Linked DNA regions of Sus scrofa. The protein of the gene in region 1 purifies or fractionates together with the protein of each later gene. This does not show direct contact. Links are inferred from orthologs where the notes say so. Each region holds a gene or a part of one and is shown in the gene's direction. Other genes may lie near its edges.

Evidence for each region.
Region 2: the proteins of TIMMDC1 (region 1) and NDUFA13 purify together in Homo sapiens (co-immunoprecipitation; 3 studies listed by BioGRID and IntAct, with this or other methods). This does not show direct contact. The link is inferred for Sus scrofa from reciprocal best matches to the Homo sapiens genes TIMMDC1 and NDUFA13.
Region 3: the proteins of TIMMDC1 (region 1) and ACAD9 purify together in Homo sapiens (affinity purification with mass spectrometry; 3 studies listed by BioGRID and IntAct, counting the BioPlex papers as one, with this or other methods). This does not show direct contact. The link is inferred for Sus scrofa from reciprocal best matches to the Homo sapiens genes TIMMDC1 and ACAD9.

What each region holds. Positions count from the first base shown.
Region 1 is NC_010455.5:140,727,554-140,732,123, reverse strand, and holds the end of TIMMDC1 (complex I assembly factor TIMMDC1, mitochondrial), read left to right. Parts: intron 1-878; coding exon 879-1,023; 3' UTR 1,024-3,565; downstream 3,566-4,570.
Region 2 is NC_010444.4:58,407,204-58,412,608, reverse strand, and holds the start of NDUFA13 (NADH dehydrogenase [ubiquinone] 1 alpha subcomplex subunit 13), read left to right. Parts: upstream 1-2,194; 5' UTR 2,195-2,298; coding exon 2,299-2,392; intron 2,393-5,405. Other genes in the region: TSSK6 (testis-specific serine/threonine-protein kinase 6), read right to left, coding at 666-1,487. UniProt on the Homo sapiens protein: Accessory subunit of the mitochondrial membrane respiratory chain NADH dehydrogenase (Complex I), that is believed not to be involved in catalysis. Complex I functions in the transfer of electrons from NADH to the respiratory chain.
Region 3 is NC_010455.5:71,419,271-71,423,476, forward strand, and holds the end of ACAD9 (acyl-CoA dehydrogenase family member 9, mitochondrial), read left to right. Parts: intron 1-36; coding exon 37-116; intron 117-646; coding exon 647-773; intron 774-957; coding exon 958-1,035; intron 1,036-1,446; coding exon 1,447-1,575; intron 1,576-1,615; exon of another isoform or gene 1,616-1,771; coding exon of another isoform or gene 1,772-1,806; intron 1,807-2,207; coding exon 2,208-2,280; intron 2,281-2,699; coding exon 2,700-2,800; 3' UTR 2,801-3,122; downstream 3,123-4,206. Other genes in the region: uncharacterized protein KIAA1257 homolog, read right to left, coding at 3,742-3,941. UniProt on the Homo sapiens protein: As part of the MCIA complex, primarily participates in the assembly of the mitochondrial complex I and therefore plays a role in oxidative phosphorylation.

The sequences.
Region 1 (4,570 bases):
TGGTTATAAAGAGGTGTGAGAAAGTCAGAGGTGACCCTGACAATCACTTAAAGGAGGACACATACTTGATTTGGAAAAGAACTCATCTGTTACTTGGAAATTATATTTTAACTCCTAGAAAATATACATCTCAGTGTTGTCTTATCTGACTTTTCTGTACTGAGGTTACCAGTGTTATATAACCTTCGTCCCTGTCCTACAAGGTCTGTCAACAGAGTTTAACAGAGTGATGGGGGTTTTACATCCTTCCTGGGTCCAGAGGGCAAGAGGACAGTCTAGTTTCAAAGCTCACATCTTAGCCCAGGGTTTTCAGCAACTGCGTGCCACCCCTGCAAAAATTCTGGCGTATCTTAAGAATCAGAGCTTCTGCTCCAGCAATGTCCGTTTTGGTAATGAGAGAATTCTACTCGGCTTATAAGTGGAACAGGTTAGGAGAGAGAAGAAAGTCATTGTATTTGAAATGCAAGGGTCAGTGTTTGCTCAGGAGTTGTAAGGGAGAGTAAGACACAATACTATCTTTTAAAAAAAGTCTAAGAGGAGTTCCCGTCGTGGCACAGTGGTTAACGAATCTGACTAGGAACCATGAGGTTGCGGGTTCGCTCCCTGCCCTTGCTCAGTGGGTTAACGATCCGGCGTTGCCGTGAGCTGTGGTGTAGGTTGCAGACTCGGCTTGGATACCGCGTTGCTGTGGCTCTGGCTAGGCCAGTGGCTACAGCTTTGATTCGACCCCTAGCCTGGGAACCTCCATATACCGCAGGAGCGGCCCAAAGAAATAGCAAAAAGACCAAAAAAAATAATAATAATAATAAAAAATAAAAAAAGTCTAAGAACCAAAAAAAAGGAACAATATTTGATATATTCTTATTCTTTGATTACAGGAAAGCCAGACTACAATTTACTGAGCTCCTCCCTGAAGAAATTGAAAGCAGTTTACAGAAAAATCAATCCAAGGATGATGCTATGAAAATTGAAACACTGCTGAATCTTCCTAGAAACCCTTCATCAACAAATAAACAAGACTAGGATTGAAAATGCTCTGGACTCACTGGAGAGTTGAAGGGAGCTATGTGTTACCATGTCCATTGAATGGTGGTTGGTTGGGCTGCTGACAAATGTAAGCACTGGCATCTGTAGTGGCAGTGACTTATCTTTTAAAAAAAACAAGCAAGAATTGGGCTATTCTTAGTTTACTCATCCATAAATTTAAACACATACGTGTATCTATATTGATTGATCAATTTAAATTTCTTTTCCCTCAATACTACAACAGTAAATTTAGAATTTCCCTAGAGATTAAAATTGAATTCTACAGATTAAAAATTGACATTTGTAGGTTACTGTAGGGATCACTAGGAAGAGGGGAGAAAAGAACTAGGTAAGGAGTTCCTGTCGTGGCGCAGAGGTTAACGAATCCGACTAGGAACCATGAGGTTGCGGGTTCGGTCCCTGCCCTTGCTCAGTGGGTTAGGGATCCGGCGTTGCCGTGAGCTGTGGTGTAGGTTGCAGACGCGGCTCGGATCCTGCGTTGCTGTGGCTCTGGCGTAGGCTGGCGGCTACAGCTCCGATTCGACCCCTAGCCGGGGAACCTCCATATGCCTCGGGAGCAGCCCAAAGAAATAGCAAAAAGCCAAAAAGCCAAAAAAAAAAAAAAAAAAAGAAAAGAACTAGGTAAGGCAAATGGTCTCTGAAGCCCTGGGTTCCTGGAAACAGTAAGTGCCAGACGTGTAGTAGTGCTTGGTTTTTTTGTTTTGTTTTCTTTTAGGGCCTCACCTGCAGCATATGGAAGTTCCCAGGCTAGGTGTCAAATCGGAACTACAGTTGCTGCCACAGCGTCAGCCACAGCAATGCCAGGTCTGAGCCATATCTTCGACCTACACTGCAGCTTGGGGCCAGGGATTGAACCTGTATCCTCGCTGACGCTATGTTGGGCTCTTAACCTGTTGAGTCACAATGGCAACTCCTGGTTTTGTTTCAGTAAAAATCAAAGATGGTTCCCATGCCATTTGAAATAAAACTTAAAAAAGGAAGTGGCTAGGCCAGACCTTATTTCCTCTCTCAGTATTGCTGACAAAGTATCTCTGCTGTATATGCAAGAGTTACTCAGATTAATAGATACTTAGTCTCTGCACTCCAGGAGCTTGCTGCCTGAGAAGGAAAAGGAAGTTGCCCTGCAGATTGTAACTTTTACTAAATGAGGGGGTGGGGGGGGATGACTGAGTCAAGTGTACTGAGGGGTAAAAACTGCTTGTGCTTTGTTTGGGGGTTAAACTTAGTGAAAATGCTGTTGCCCACATGAGCAGCGTTTGAGGTTCCCATATGGTGCAGCAGGTTTGGGATCCGTTATTGCCGCAGCTATAGTACAGGCCACAACATCCGCACAGGTTTGATCCCTGGCCTGGGAACTTCCACATGTTGAAGGTGCAGCCAAAAGAAAAAAAAGTCTTTCACATGATCAGTATTTGTGAAGCAGCCTAGAGTGTTGGCTAGAACTGGGGGCTCTGGAGGCAGGGCACTGGCTTGCAGTCTTAGCCCTGTGTCTTTGCATCCATGTGACCTACAGCACAGCCATTTTACTTTAAGTCTGGAGTTTTCTGTCAAATGAAACAGTATCTACCCCAGAATGGGTAGTAAATGTGTAGAGCATAACACAATGCTGTGGCACACAGGACATTATCTAATTGCAGATATTAGCAGTTAAAATTGTATGAGAACCTGGAGTTCCCTTTGTGGCTTGGTGGTTACAAATCCAACTAGTATCCATGAGGATGCGGGTTTGATCCCTGGCCTTGCTCAGTGGATTAAGGATCTGCTGTGTAGGTTGCAGATATAGCTCGGATCTGGTGTCGCTGTGGCTGTGGCATAGGCCAGCAGCTGCAGCTCCAGTTCAACACCTAGCCTGGGAACTTGCATATGCTACAGATGCAGTCCTAAAAAGAAAAAAAAGGGGGGAGAGATATGAGAACATCTGCACCAATGTATTTTCACCACGATTTACATATTCTTGCCACACTCCAAAAAGCATGTTTTTCTTAATCATCCCATTCATAAATTGTAACAAATTGGCAGTTAGTCGGTTTATTTTATTCATACCCCCATACAGGTTAAATCTTTAAACTAGAAATTATAAATTATCAGATGGTTGGTTTTAAAATAATTTTATTCATATCACAAAAATATCAAAATAATAGAAGTAAAATAATTTTGAAAGTAGTACTAATACATTTATTAAATGTAATAAGTAATAATTTACTATAATTTATTGTTTAAAGTACAAATAAGCTGTCTCTTGGGTTTGTCTCTTGTTTTGTGGTTAATTACTTCTTAAGGTCTCCTTTTGATCATGTCCGAGGATTATGAATCTTAACTAAAGGCAGCAATTCCTGTTTGTTGTTGTTGTTGTTGTTATGGTTGTTTCCTTACCTTACACTTTTGTCAGTCTACTACCCATATTTTCTTCAGTAACTTTGTTCTGTGAGGAACTATTTAAACATATACCTCTGTTCTTTAGACTATATAGCATAATCTGGTCCCTTTTTAGCTGTCAAAATTAAACATTTTAAATCCAGCCACATTTGAGAAACTTGGTCAACTCTTGCTGTCCAACTCTAGATTTTCAAATGAGAATGTCTAGTTGCCCCAGCTTAAGTAAGATTCACTTAGAGAAAGAGGAGTCATGAGTTAAGTAACATAAGAACAGTAGTTGGCCACTTCTTTCTTTTCAATTCTCTGCTGATGTCAGAATGATCCAAAAATACCAAGGAGGAAAAGCCACTTTAGGGATCTAAAGAAGCCTTGTGGAAGCTCTTTTTCATTACCTTAAGCAGTTTCTTCTAAAGACAGCTTAATCTTTAGTACATACACACAGTAAAACCTATCTCATTTTAACTGAGAACATCCTCATAAATATTTTATAAATGCAATTAAAGTAAAGCTATTTAAGGAAATTATCAGTCCAATGTGAACCAATAGAATGTTAACCCACTGAGCAAGGCCAGGGATTGAACCCTCATCCTTGTGAATACTATTTGGGTTCTTAACCCACTGAGCCACAACAGGAACTCCAGAATGTGCATCTTTAACCCACACTAACCACCCTCTCCAACCCAGCTATTGCTTTGGAGTGTATAAGTCATTGGCATTACATATCAGAGGAAATTAGTTTTGGATAGCTCTACTTCCTCCTGAACCTGGTAGAGAAGATTGATACTGGCTAAACTGTTTCCAGAAGCACTTTAACTCTGTGTGTGTGTGTGTACACATACCAGTTAATAGCACAGAGCTAGATTGATGAAGGAAAAGAGTACCAGAGCCAGGAAAATCTGGGTTCTAGCCTTGGCCTTTACAATTCAGGTCACCTCCCAGAACTTCAGTACCCTGTCATTGGTAAGACTAGTATTCGTGGAGTTCCCATTGTGGCTCAAGGGGTTAAGAACCCCACATAGTGTCAATGAGAAGGCGGATTTGATCCCTGGCCTTGCTCAGTGTGTTAAGGATCCAGTGTTGTTACAAGCTCTGCCGTAGGTTGCAGATACCGGCCCTGATCTAGTGTTGCTTTGGCTGTGGCTGTGGT
Region 2 (5,405 bases), on another chromosome or scaffold:
TCCCAGGACCATCGTCACACTGGAGATGATTCCAAAGCCCCTTCAAGTCTGCCTAAGGTGGGAAGCCCAAAAGGCGGGGGTTCAAATCCTCCCAACTCCTTTTTTCTTAGAGCAAGAACCTCCACAAGCCTTTTCCTAAAATAGAAAGCCTGTCCCCGGGGAGGGATCCCCTCCCGCTAAGCTCCATAAAAGCGGGCCATTGCTAGAGCCAGGTGCTAGAAAGAGCGAGTTTATTGCAAATTCCAAGGGAGGCAGCACCTGCAGCGCGCCCTCCCTCACTGGCATGCGCGTCTGGCTGGGGACCGAGGCTCTCCGCGGACGACCGCTCGCCAGCAGTTGCTCTAAGCAGGCACCGTCCCTCGCGTAGCCGTCGCTCATTCCGCATGGCGCAAAATTTCTCTCTCCTCTTGTCCGGGTCCCTCTCTGGGCTTCTCTTGGGGTATAGAGGAAGGGCATGAGCCCTCCCGCTCTTGGGATTGTGGAGGAGGAGCTAGATTCCGAACAAGGGCCACCGAGGCCCCCGGCATCGAAAGAATTGGGATGAGGGGAAGGGCGCGTGCGCAGCGGTGCGCGGCGGCTTCGCAGAACTCCGGAAGCGCGCTTCTTGCGCGTACGCTGCGCTTGCGCAGTGCTCGGGGCAGCGGGAATAGTGGGAACCCCGGCTTCTAGCCGGAGTCCCCAGCACGCAGCCAGCCGTTGCGCGCTACTTGGCCGGCGGAGGGCCTAGCCGACGGGCTGAACTGCAGCAACTCGGCGATCAGGGCCTTGCAGCGTTCGGACAGCTCGAGGCCGTCAGGGTAGAGAACGCCGCGCTTCTGGCGCCTGGGCAGGCCAGCGATATCGGAGTCGTCAAAGGGCATACACCCGGTGACCATGACGTAGAGCACGACGCCCAAGCTCCACACGTCGTACTTCTTGGGGTCGTAGGGGATGCCCAGGAGTACCTCGGGCGATGCGTAGGCGGCTGAGCCGCAATATGTGGTGCTTAGATCCGGGTAGCCGTGCGCCTGTCGGCCGAAGCCGAAGTCGGTAAGCTTGACGCGGCGCTCATCAGGGCTCAGCAGCACGTTTTCGCACTTGAGGTCGCGGTGCACCAGGTGGTGGTCGTGCAGGTAGCGCACAGCACCGGCGATCTGCGCGAAGAGGTCGCGCGCCTGCCCCCCTGGGATGCGCCCGTTGCGCTGCACGGCCTGCAGTAGGTCGGTGGCGGCCGCCTCCATCACGATGTACAGCTTCCCGTTGCACACCTCGATGAACTCGAAGACGTGCACGATGTGCGGGTGCCGCACGCCCCGAAGGATGGACAGCTCTCGTGGCAGGAACTTGTTGACGAAGTCGGGCGGCGCGCGCCGCCGGTCCACCACCTTGATGGCCACTGTGCCCTTGTACTTCTTGGATGTAGCCACCTTTACCTTGGAATAACTGCCCTCGCCTATTGTGCGGCCCAGCTTATAGCCGAGTTCGCTCAGAAGTTTGTCGCCCGACATGGTGGCGCCTGGGGCGCGTGGGGAGCAGGAGACGGCTGCTGTCGGGGGGCGGCCGGACTCCGATCTCGGGCCTAACCCATGGCGCTTGGCACCTGCACACCCGCACCCCCATGTGCCCACTCCCGGGCCCCCGCCGCCGCGGTGCCTTTTATTGCCCAGGTAACAATTTCTGCCTTGTGAAGTGACTGCGGGCGTCACCCCGCCTCGGGGTGGGGGCCCCCAGACCCTGTCCTGTGGTGCTCCCTAAGACCGTAGGGCTTTGTGACTCATAATCGCTCCGAATGGTTCAGTTCCTGATGAGAGGACACTATCAAGGGGTCCCTACCACTAGAAGTGGAATCCGTGCCCAGGATTGGGGCAGCTCATGGCGTCCGAAGCTGAGGAGCAGCCGACCCCCAACTTCATGTGCCCAGCCCAGACCCTGAGGAGGCCCCCCAAGGGGAGAAAATGGGAAAGAGACCTGGCTCCATCCGGCGCTTGGGGATTGTCTGGTCTGCACGTCGTCTCATAGGGAAGGTGAATGGGAAGTGCTTTGGTGCAAAGACCCTGGCGCCCTAGCCTGTTGAGGGCGTTGACATTGATTGAGCCACGCCCTATTTGGGAGCCGATACTCTTTGGCTGCAGCTAGGCGGCACAGTCATTGTCCCGCCCAGCTGCCGGAGCTTTACCACGCGCTGGGGTAGGTGCAGCAGAGCGCCAGGTTTCCCGGCTAGGTCCTAGACCTGCGCGGCAGCTTCCGCCACGCTCCTTATGGTGGAGGCATACGTTGTGTAACTTCCTTTCCCGACCGGAAGTGCAAGGTACTGCAAGTATGGCGGCATCGAAGGTGAAGCAGGACATGCCCCCACCAGGGGGCTATGGCCCTATCGACTACAAGCGGAACCTCCCACGTCGAGGACTGTCGGGTCAGTGTCGTCCTGTGCCGGGGTGTCAGGGTCTAGGCCCTCTGGGCGCCGCGGCGGGGTTGGGACGCGGGGAGTCTAGCGCGCCTGCTTTTTCCCCGGGATCCCAGATACCTTCACTAGTGACATTAAGAACAACTGCTGCAGTTTGTTCGAGCGTTTACCAAGCCCTTTACATCTTTCTCGTTAACAGCCCAGGAGGCCAGTCCTGTTAATTATTCCCACTTCGTAATTAAACAGATTAATTTTTTAACCCGTGCGGAGAGCCTTCCGCCACGCTCTCGGTTCACTGGTGGGGAAACAGACCCGAGAGAGGATGTGACCTCCCACCAGGGCCATCCAGAGCAAAGCTGGGGCTGAAACCCGGAATACTGAGGGAATTTTAAAGATGTTCTGTGCGGTGGTTCCTCGCTGGGGGCCCCACCTGCAGGATATCCCAGGAATATGCATCCTTAAAATTTTTTGTTGGGTAAAATGTAAGAGAGAAAGTAAAAGGCACCCATACTCTGCACTCAGGATTAACGGAGAAATACAGAAAATGTAAAGAAGAGTTAAGAATACTTTGTTGTAACTCATTGAACTTTACATTTAAAAGTGCGTCCTGTGCACATTTTGCCTCAATTAAAAGGCAAAAAAATTCATAGGCAAAAAAAGTTCTAATTCAGATAGTGAAAAATTCATGTACTCAAGTCCTTCTCTGCCCTTTCTTGGCTTTTTTGTAATGTGGAACCAAGGTTGACAAACTTTTTATGTAAAGAGCCAGATAAATATTTCATGCTTTGCTGGCCAGGTGGTCTTTGCTGCTACTGCTTTACTGCTTTACAGCTTTACAAACCCAAGTGTTCCTAGCCAGAGGGCTATAGAAAAATAGGTTACAGGCTAGGTTTGGCACCACATGGGCACTCAATTCGCACCACATGGGAACTCAACAAGCCAGTACACCCCTTGAGTGTGTGGCATGAGGTTTGTCTATACATGTATACTTTTTTTTTTTTTTTTTTTTGTCTTTTGTCTTTTAGGGCCACACCTGTGGCATATGGAGATTCCCAGGCTAGGGGTCTAATCGGAGCTGTAGCCACTGGCCTGCACCAGAGCCACAGCAATGTGAGATCCAAGCCGTGTCTGCGACCCTCACCACAGCTCATGGCAATGCCAGATCCTTAACCCGCTGAGCAAGGGCAGGGATCGAACCCGCAGCCTCATGGTTCCTAGTTGGATTCGTTAACCACTGAGCCACGACGGGAACTCCATGTATACTTTTATGACATGCATCCAGACCAGGCTATGTAGGGATCCCAGCCCTTGGGTCTTCCTGGGATCTCCACAGTCAGCTTCTCTCTTTTTTCCTTTTTTTCTTTTTTTTCAGAACCACACCCATGGCATATAAAAGTTCCCCGCCTAGAGGTCAAATCAGAGCTTGCAGCTGCCAGCCTACCACAGCCACAGCATTGCTGGATCCCAGCTGGCATCTGCAACCTCCAGTACAGCTTGTGGCAATGCTGGATCCTTAACCCACTGAACAAAGCCAGGGATTGAACCCATGTCCTCATGGATACTATGTTGGATTCTTAATCCACTGAGCCACAACGGGAACTCCAGTCAGCTTCTCTTTTATTTTTAAATCACAAATGTGGCCTTTATCCTGTTGCTCTTCCAGTTCATGACCTAGAAGTGCCTCCCTCCCATGTGCCCTAAGTAAACCACTGCCTGGGATTGGGTCTCCTAATCTCAGCTCATTACACCTCCTTTTGTTGTAGCATATACAGACCCACCCCATTCTTTCCTGGCTGCAGAGCTGTAGGGAAGATATTCCCTTCTGGAGTGTGGTCTTTGTTTATGTACCTACATTCAGTAATTATTGAGTGCATCCATGGTGCTGGGTTCTTTCCTGAGGAGCTCAGGATCCAGCTGAGGAGACAGACACATCACTCCATAATTTCCCGTTGTAGCCAATGGAAAGGCCTGCCAGAGTCCCTGGCCAGAGTGGGCTGAATCACCTCTCTGAGAAGGAGTTTCCCAGGCAGAGGGAACCGCAAATGTAAAAGCCCTTTAGGAGTTCGCATCATGGCTCAGCGGTTAACGAACCTGACTAGCATCCATGAGGATACAAGTTTGATCCCTGACCTTGCTCAGTGGGTTAAGGATCCAGCATTGCCATAAGCCATGGTGTAGGTTTGAAGACACAGATTGGATTCTGCATTGCTGTGGCTGTGGCATAGGCCACAGGTACAGCTCCAATTAGACCCCTAGTCTGGGAACCTCCATATGTTGTGGGTAAGGCCCCCCCCCAAAAAAAAAGAAAAAAAGTAAAAGCCCTTTACTCTGTCCTGTGCCTGCCCTCATTCTCTGTCCTCCAGGCCCTCCTCTAGCCTTGCCTCAAAAGTGCTCTTGTCAAGGCACTGTGATCGCAAACTTGGCATGCTCTCCCCCTTCTCTCCAGTTACTGCCAGCATCCCAGAATGTGTGGCTCAGGCCACCTTTAGTCCACTGCTCCCAATATAACTACTATTACCACCTTTTCCCCTCCTCTCTCATGCCCAGCTCTCCTTTCTCCACTCCCTCCTGTACCCAGCAAGTGGCCCTTTCTTTTCTTCTTATGTCTTTTACATTTTTATTGAACTGTACCATACAATTCACCCATTTCATATGTACACATAACTGAGTTTTAGTCTATTCATTGTTGTGCAACCATCACAACTAAGTGATGGCACCTAATGAATCTTCAGAACTTTGAAAATGTTTACAACATTTTCATCACCCCAAAAAGAAATCTCATACCCATTAGCCATTACTACGTTCTTCCCTCAGCCCCTGACAACCACTGATCTGCTTTCTGTCTCTATGGATTCACTTCTTCTGGACATTTCATATAAATGGAATTGTTTACTATGTGTATTTTTTTGTCTGGCTTTTCTCACTGAACATGTTTTTAATGTTTATATTGTATGTTTCAGTGCTTCGTTCTTTTTTTCAGGCTGAATAATATTCTTGTATGGCTGGACCATATTTTATGTAT
Region 3 (4,206 bases), about 69 Mb from region 1:
GGGGGCAGCCTTTGACTCAGGGAACGCTGCCCACAGGGAACCAACGAGATTCTCCGGATGTACATCGCCCTGACAGGCCTGCAGCACGCCGGGCGCGCCCTGACTGCAAGGGTCAAGTAGGTGCCACTTCCACCGTCCCCTGGGTCCCCCTGCCTGGCAGAACCGTCCAGTGCAGCAGGAGGAGGGGGCTGCCTCATCCGGGGACCAGGCCGCGCAGGCTTGCAGTGCTCAGCTCTATCATTGGCTGGCTGGAGGGAGGGGACGGGCCCTGTCCCCTGCCGCACAGTCACACTGCCCCCGTTCCCTGCAGCTCCCACTCCCATGGGGCAGGGAGCTACTTTCAGAACCTGGGCAGTGAGAGGCGACCCCCAAACAGGCAGTGGCTCCAAGGCTGACGCAGGACCAGTGTCTCTTTTCCCAACCCCCATCCTGGGGCAGCAACAGTTGGCGATCCTGCTGGAGCCCAGGCCCTGCAGGGGAGGATGACCTGGAAGCTGGCCTGACCCAGTCCTCCGTGTCAAAGATGGCTGCTCCCTGAGGGCTGGTGGGGGGAGGGCCTCGTGGGTCCTGAGTCGGCCCTCTGGGTGCATAGTCAGGGAGCTTGAGCACTGATGCCTCAGCTAACAGGGCCGTGGGCTCCCTGCAGGGAGCTGAAACGGGGCAATGTGACCACCGTCATGGAGACCGTTGGCCGGAGGCTTCGGGACTCCCTTGGCCGAACCGTAGACCTGGGGCTGACAGGGAAGCTTGGAGCTGTGCACCCCAGTGTTGCGGTGAGTGGGCCCAGCAGGTGGACATCCCCATCGGTGTCCCCTTCCCAGAAGAGGTGCAACGGGGGTTTTGGGGAGGGCTGCTTGATGCCCCGTCTCCGCCCTGTCCGGGTGGAGAAGGGCCCAGCCTGGTAGCAGGGCCTGAGACTGCGGGAGGACCATGCTGAGCAGAGCCCCCCGCCCACAGGACGGTGCCCACAAGCTCGAGGAGAACGTGTACTACTTCGGCCGCACAGTGGAGATGCTGCTGCTTCGCTTTGGCAAGGTACCTGGGGTCAGGGAGATGCGCCAACATCCAAGTGGGACCAAGCCTAGGAGGGAATCTTGGTCTCCATGGAGGGCTGGGAGACCCCTGCTGGGAGGGCATCTTCTGGGTGCAGAGAGGCTTCTTGGAGCAGGACAGGCAGCCCTACCTGGGCCTGAATCTCAGGACCTGTTCTGTGAGGTTCTTGCTGCTGAAGTGACTTTAAGCCCTGGCTTCTAGTCTCAGCCAGGTGTCCGGGACATGGACTTGTCTTGACTTCTGCCCAGATTTGCACAGAGCCGCCGGGAGCCAGCCTCCCACAGCCCGAGGGGAGGGCAGTGCATGAAGCTCAGAGACGGCAGAGGGGCCCAGGGCAGGGCCTGTGTGAGGAGGTCCCAGGTGGCGAGTCTCCACCCTGCCCTCTGTTCCCAGACCATCGTGGAGGAGCAGTTGATCTTGAAGCGAGTGGCCAACGTCCTCATCAACCTGTATGGCATGACGGCTGTGCTGTCGCGGGCCACCCGCTCCATCCGCATGGGGCTCCGGAACCATGACCACGAGGTGAGAGCCCCCCGCTTCTCCCCACAGGCAGCTTCCCTGCTGGCTTGTCATGCTGCATTTTAATCAGATGTGGTGGTTGTGGGGGGAGGGGGCTGCTGTGCGAGTCCAGGGTCATGTCCCCAGAGGGATGAAGGCGAACCTGGAGAGTTGTGGCTGTGTCCAGTGCTCTCAGCTCTGATGGGCAGGTCCTTGCTGCTCAGGACATGAGGCCACTGCCTTTCATCTTCCTGCCTGAGAGAAGAGGGAGGGTGAGTGGCGGGGCCCCACATCCAGCTCCCTCACCCCATCTCTTGGTGGGCAGTGCAGCCTGAGCACCTGCTGTGTACACGCGTGTCTTGACGCACTTTGGTCTGAGAAGCCCGGAGCTGTGGGAATTATGATTCCCTCCCACAGAGGGGGAAATGGAGGCTCAGGGAGGTTGAGTGACCTGCCCTGGAGACAGAGTCCCTTTGGCTCAGGCTGGAATCAGAATCTAAGGCCATGGCCTGACTCTGGCCAAGCTGCCTACTTTGGCTGACAGACTGTCTTCAGAGGCTCGAAAGTCAAGCGGGGGCGGGGGCGGGTGGGGGCGTGTCCTAAGGCCCAGAGATCTGAGTCCTCAGCAGCCACTTCTATGCCTTGGGTCCTGCCAGGTTCTGTTGACCAACATCTTCTGCACGGAAGCCTATCACCAGAATCTCTTCACCCTGTCCCAGCTGGACAAATGTAAGTGGGTGGCTTGGGGACAGGGGAACGGGGCTCCCAGGGCACTGTGCCCACAGATGTCTGCACCAAGTGAGGCTGCCAGCAGGAGCGCACACAGCAGGTGCGGCAGGTGTTGGCTTTGGCCTCCTCACTCCTTGCGCCCCATCTGACCCACCCAGGGAGGAGCACAGGGTTCTGTGCCCTCTGGGCTCTGGCGGCCCCTCTGTGCTGAAGGGCTGTTAGCTCCTGCTATGGTGGCTGCGGCGGAAGGGGAGTTGACAGGCTTGAATTGCTGAGGGGGGCTTTTTATCCCCTCTTCTCCCTGAGGCCCAGAATCACTTCCTGGGGAGGAGCTGTCACCTCTGCACTCCCTCCTAGCAGTGGCCTTATGTGGTTAGAAAAACTGCACAACATAGAAAGGCCACTCTCTTCTCTCCCAGGTTCTCCAGAAAATCTAGACGAACAGATCAAGAAAGTGTCCCAGCAGGTCCTAGAGAAGCGAGCCTACATCTGTGCCCACCCTCTGGACCGGATGTCCTGAAGTGGAAGGACAGTGTCCCCTGCTGCCACCTGCCCCTGGACACGCTCACACTTTCCAGAAGGCAGAGAACTTGGGTCCTTAAAGGCTGACCATTTCTCCTCCAGCCCCTGACCTGGGGGCACTGCTGCCTGACATCCCACCAGACTCCACGTGGCTTCTGGGAGAGTGAGAACTGCTGAGATTCCCTAGCTCAAGGGACACCCTTTGCCACCCCACTCAGGGTGGGACCAGGCTTGTACCACCCCCTCTGTGGCCTGGGCTGGCAGGGACATGCCTCAGGCAGGGTAGCCGCTTCAAGAAGCAGTTCATACATCACCTGGAATCCGTATGTGTCATTCTTTTAAACTAGAAGCAAAATGCACTTAAAATATGTTCAACGAGAACTCTTTAACAAAGAGAGTGTAAAACGGCACCAATTGTTAGTTTAGCATTTGCCATACTAGGCATGTGTTTCCTCACAACCAGCCTTTAGCACGTGGCAAGTTGACCCTGAGAGATCCACACTCTGGTGACAGCTGTAGGGTCAGGAGCCCTTGCCATTGGTCCTTTCCAGGTAAAGCTGCTGGTCTGTGGCAAGAGATGCTGCTCCCAGCTGGGCTTTCCTCTTGTTCGTCATGGGGACAAGAGACGTCTTTCAGAAGCACGAGCAGGACTCTGTGTGTCCAGGTCCCAGCATGCTCACCTGGCAGGCTTCAGGCTTTGGTCTGGTTCCTGGGTGGTCTGTGCTCCAGAAAGCCCATCACAGCCAGCAGCCAGGCTCTCCCCCTCCTCCAGGTAGGATTCTGCCTTGGCTGGGGTGATGGGAACCGGTTCGAGAGCTGTGCTGGTTCTGGGGGTGGGGCTGAGCCTCTGGCACCTCATCTTCAAAGGTGAGAGCTAATCTTCCACAGGTGGAAGCTTACAAACACAGTGACTTGATGAACAACTTGCCAGCGAAACCCTTAGTTTTTACAGTGTCTTGCTGGCAGGGAGGCACTTTGCACAGAGGAGAGAGCACGTGTCTTCTTGCAGTGCGGGGACAGAAGGCCGCATGGAGCCACGTCTGCAGCAGGTTTTCTGTGTCCAACTGAATGTAAAACATCAGGCCACTGGTTCCATGTCTCCCTTCTCCCCTGCTCTACCGGAGGCTTTCTTACCTGTGCTGTGTGTAGGGAGGGGAGTCAGGGAAGGCCCATGGACGTGACTGTAATTCTGAGCCTGGGATCCACCACCAGGTAGCAGGGCACCTGAGCCTGTGCTGAAGGGAGGCAGGGAGATCCAGGCAGGAAACAGACCAAGTCCATGTCCTCCTGTTTCACAGAGCTCCCAGCTCCCTTGGGAGTTGGGCAAGGAAGAAACCCATGGTTTAACCCATCTGACTTCCTAGGGAAGGTGGCTCTGGCCAACCTTGTTGCCAGATAAACTCC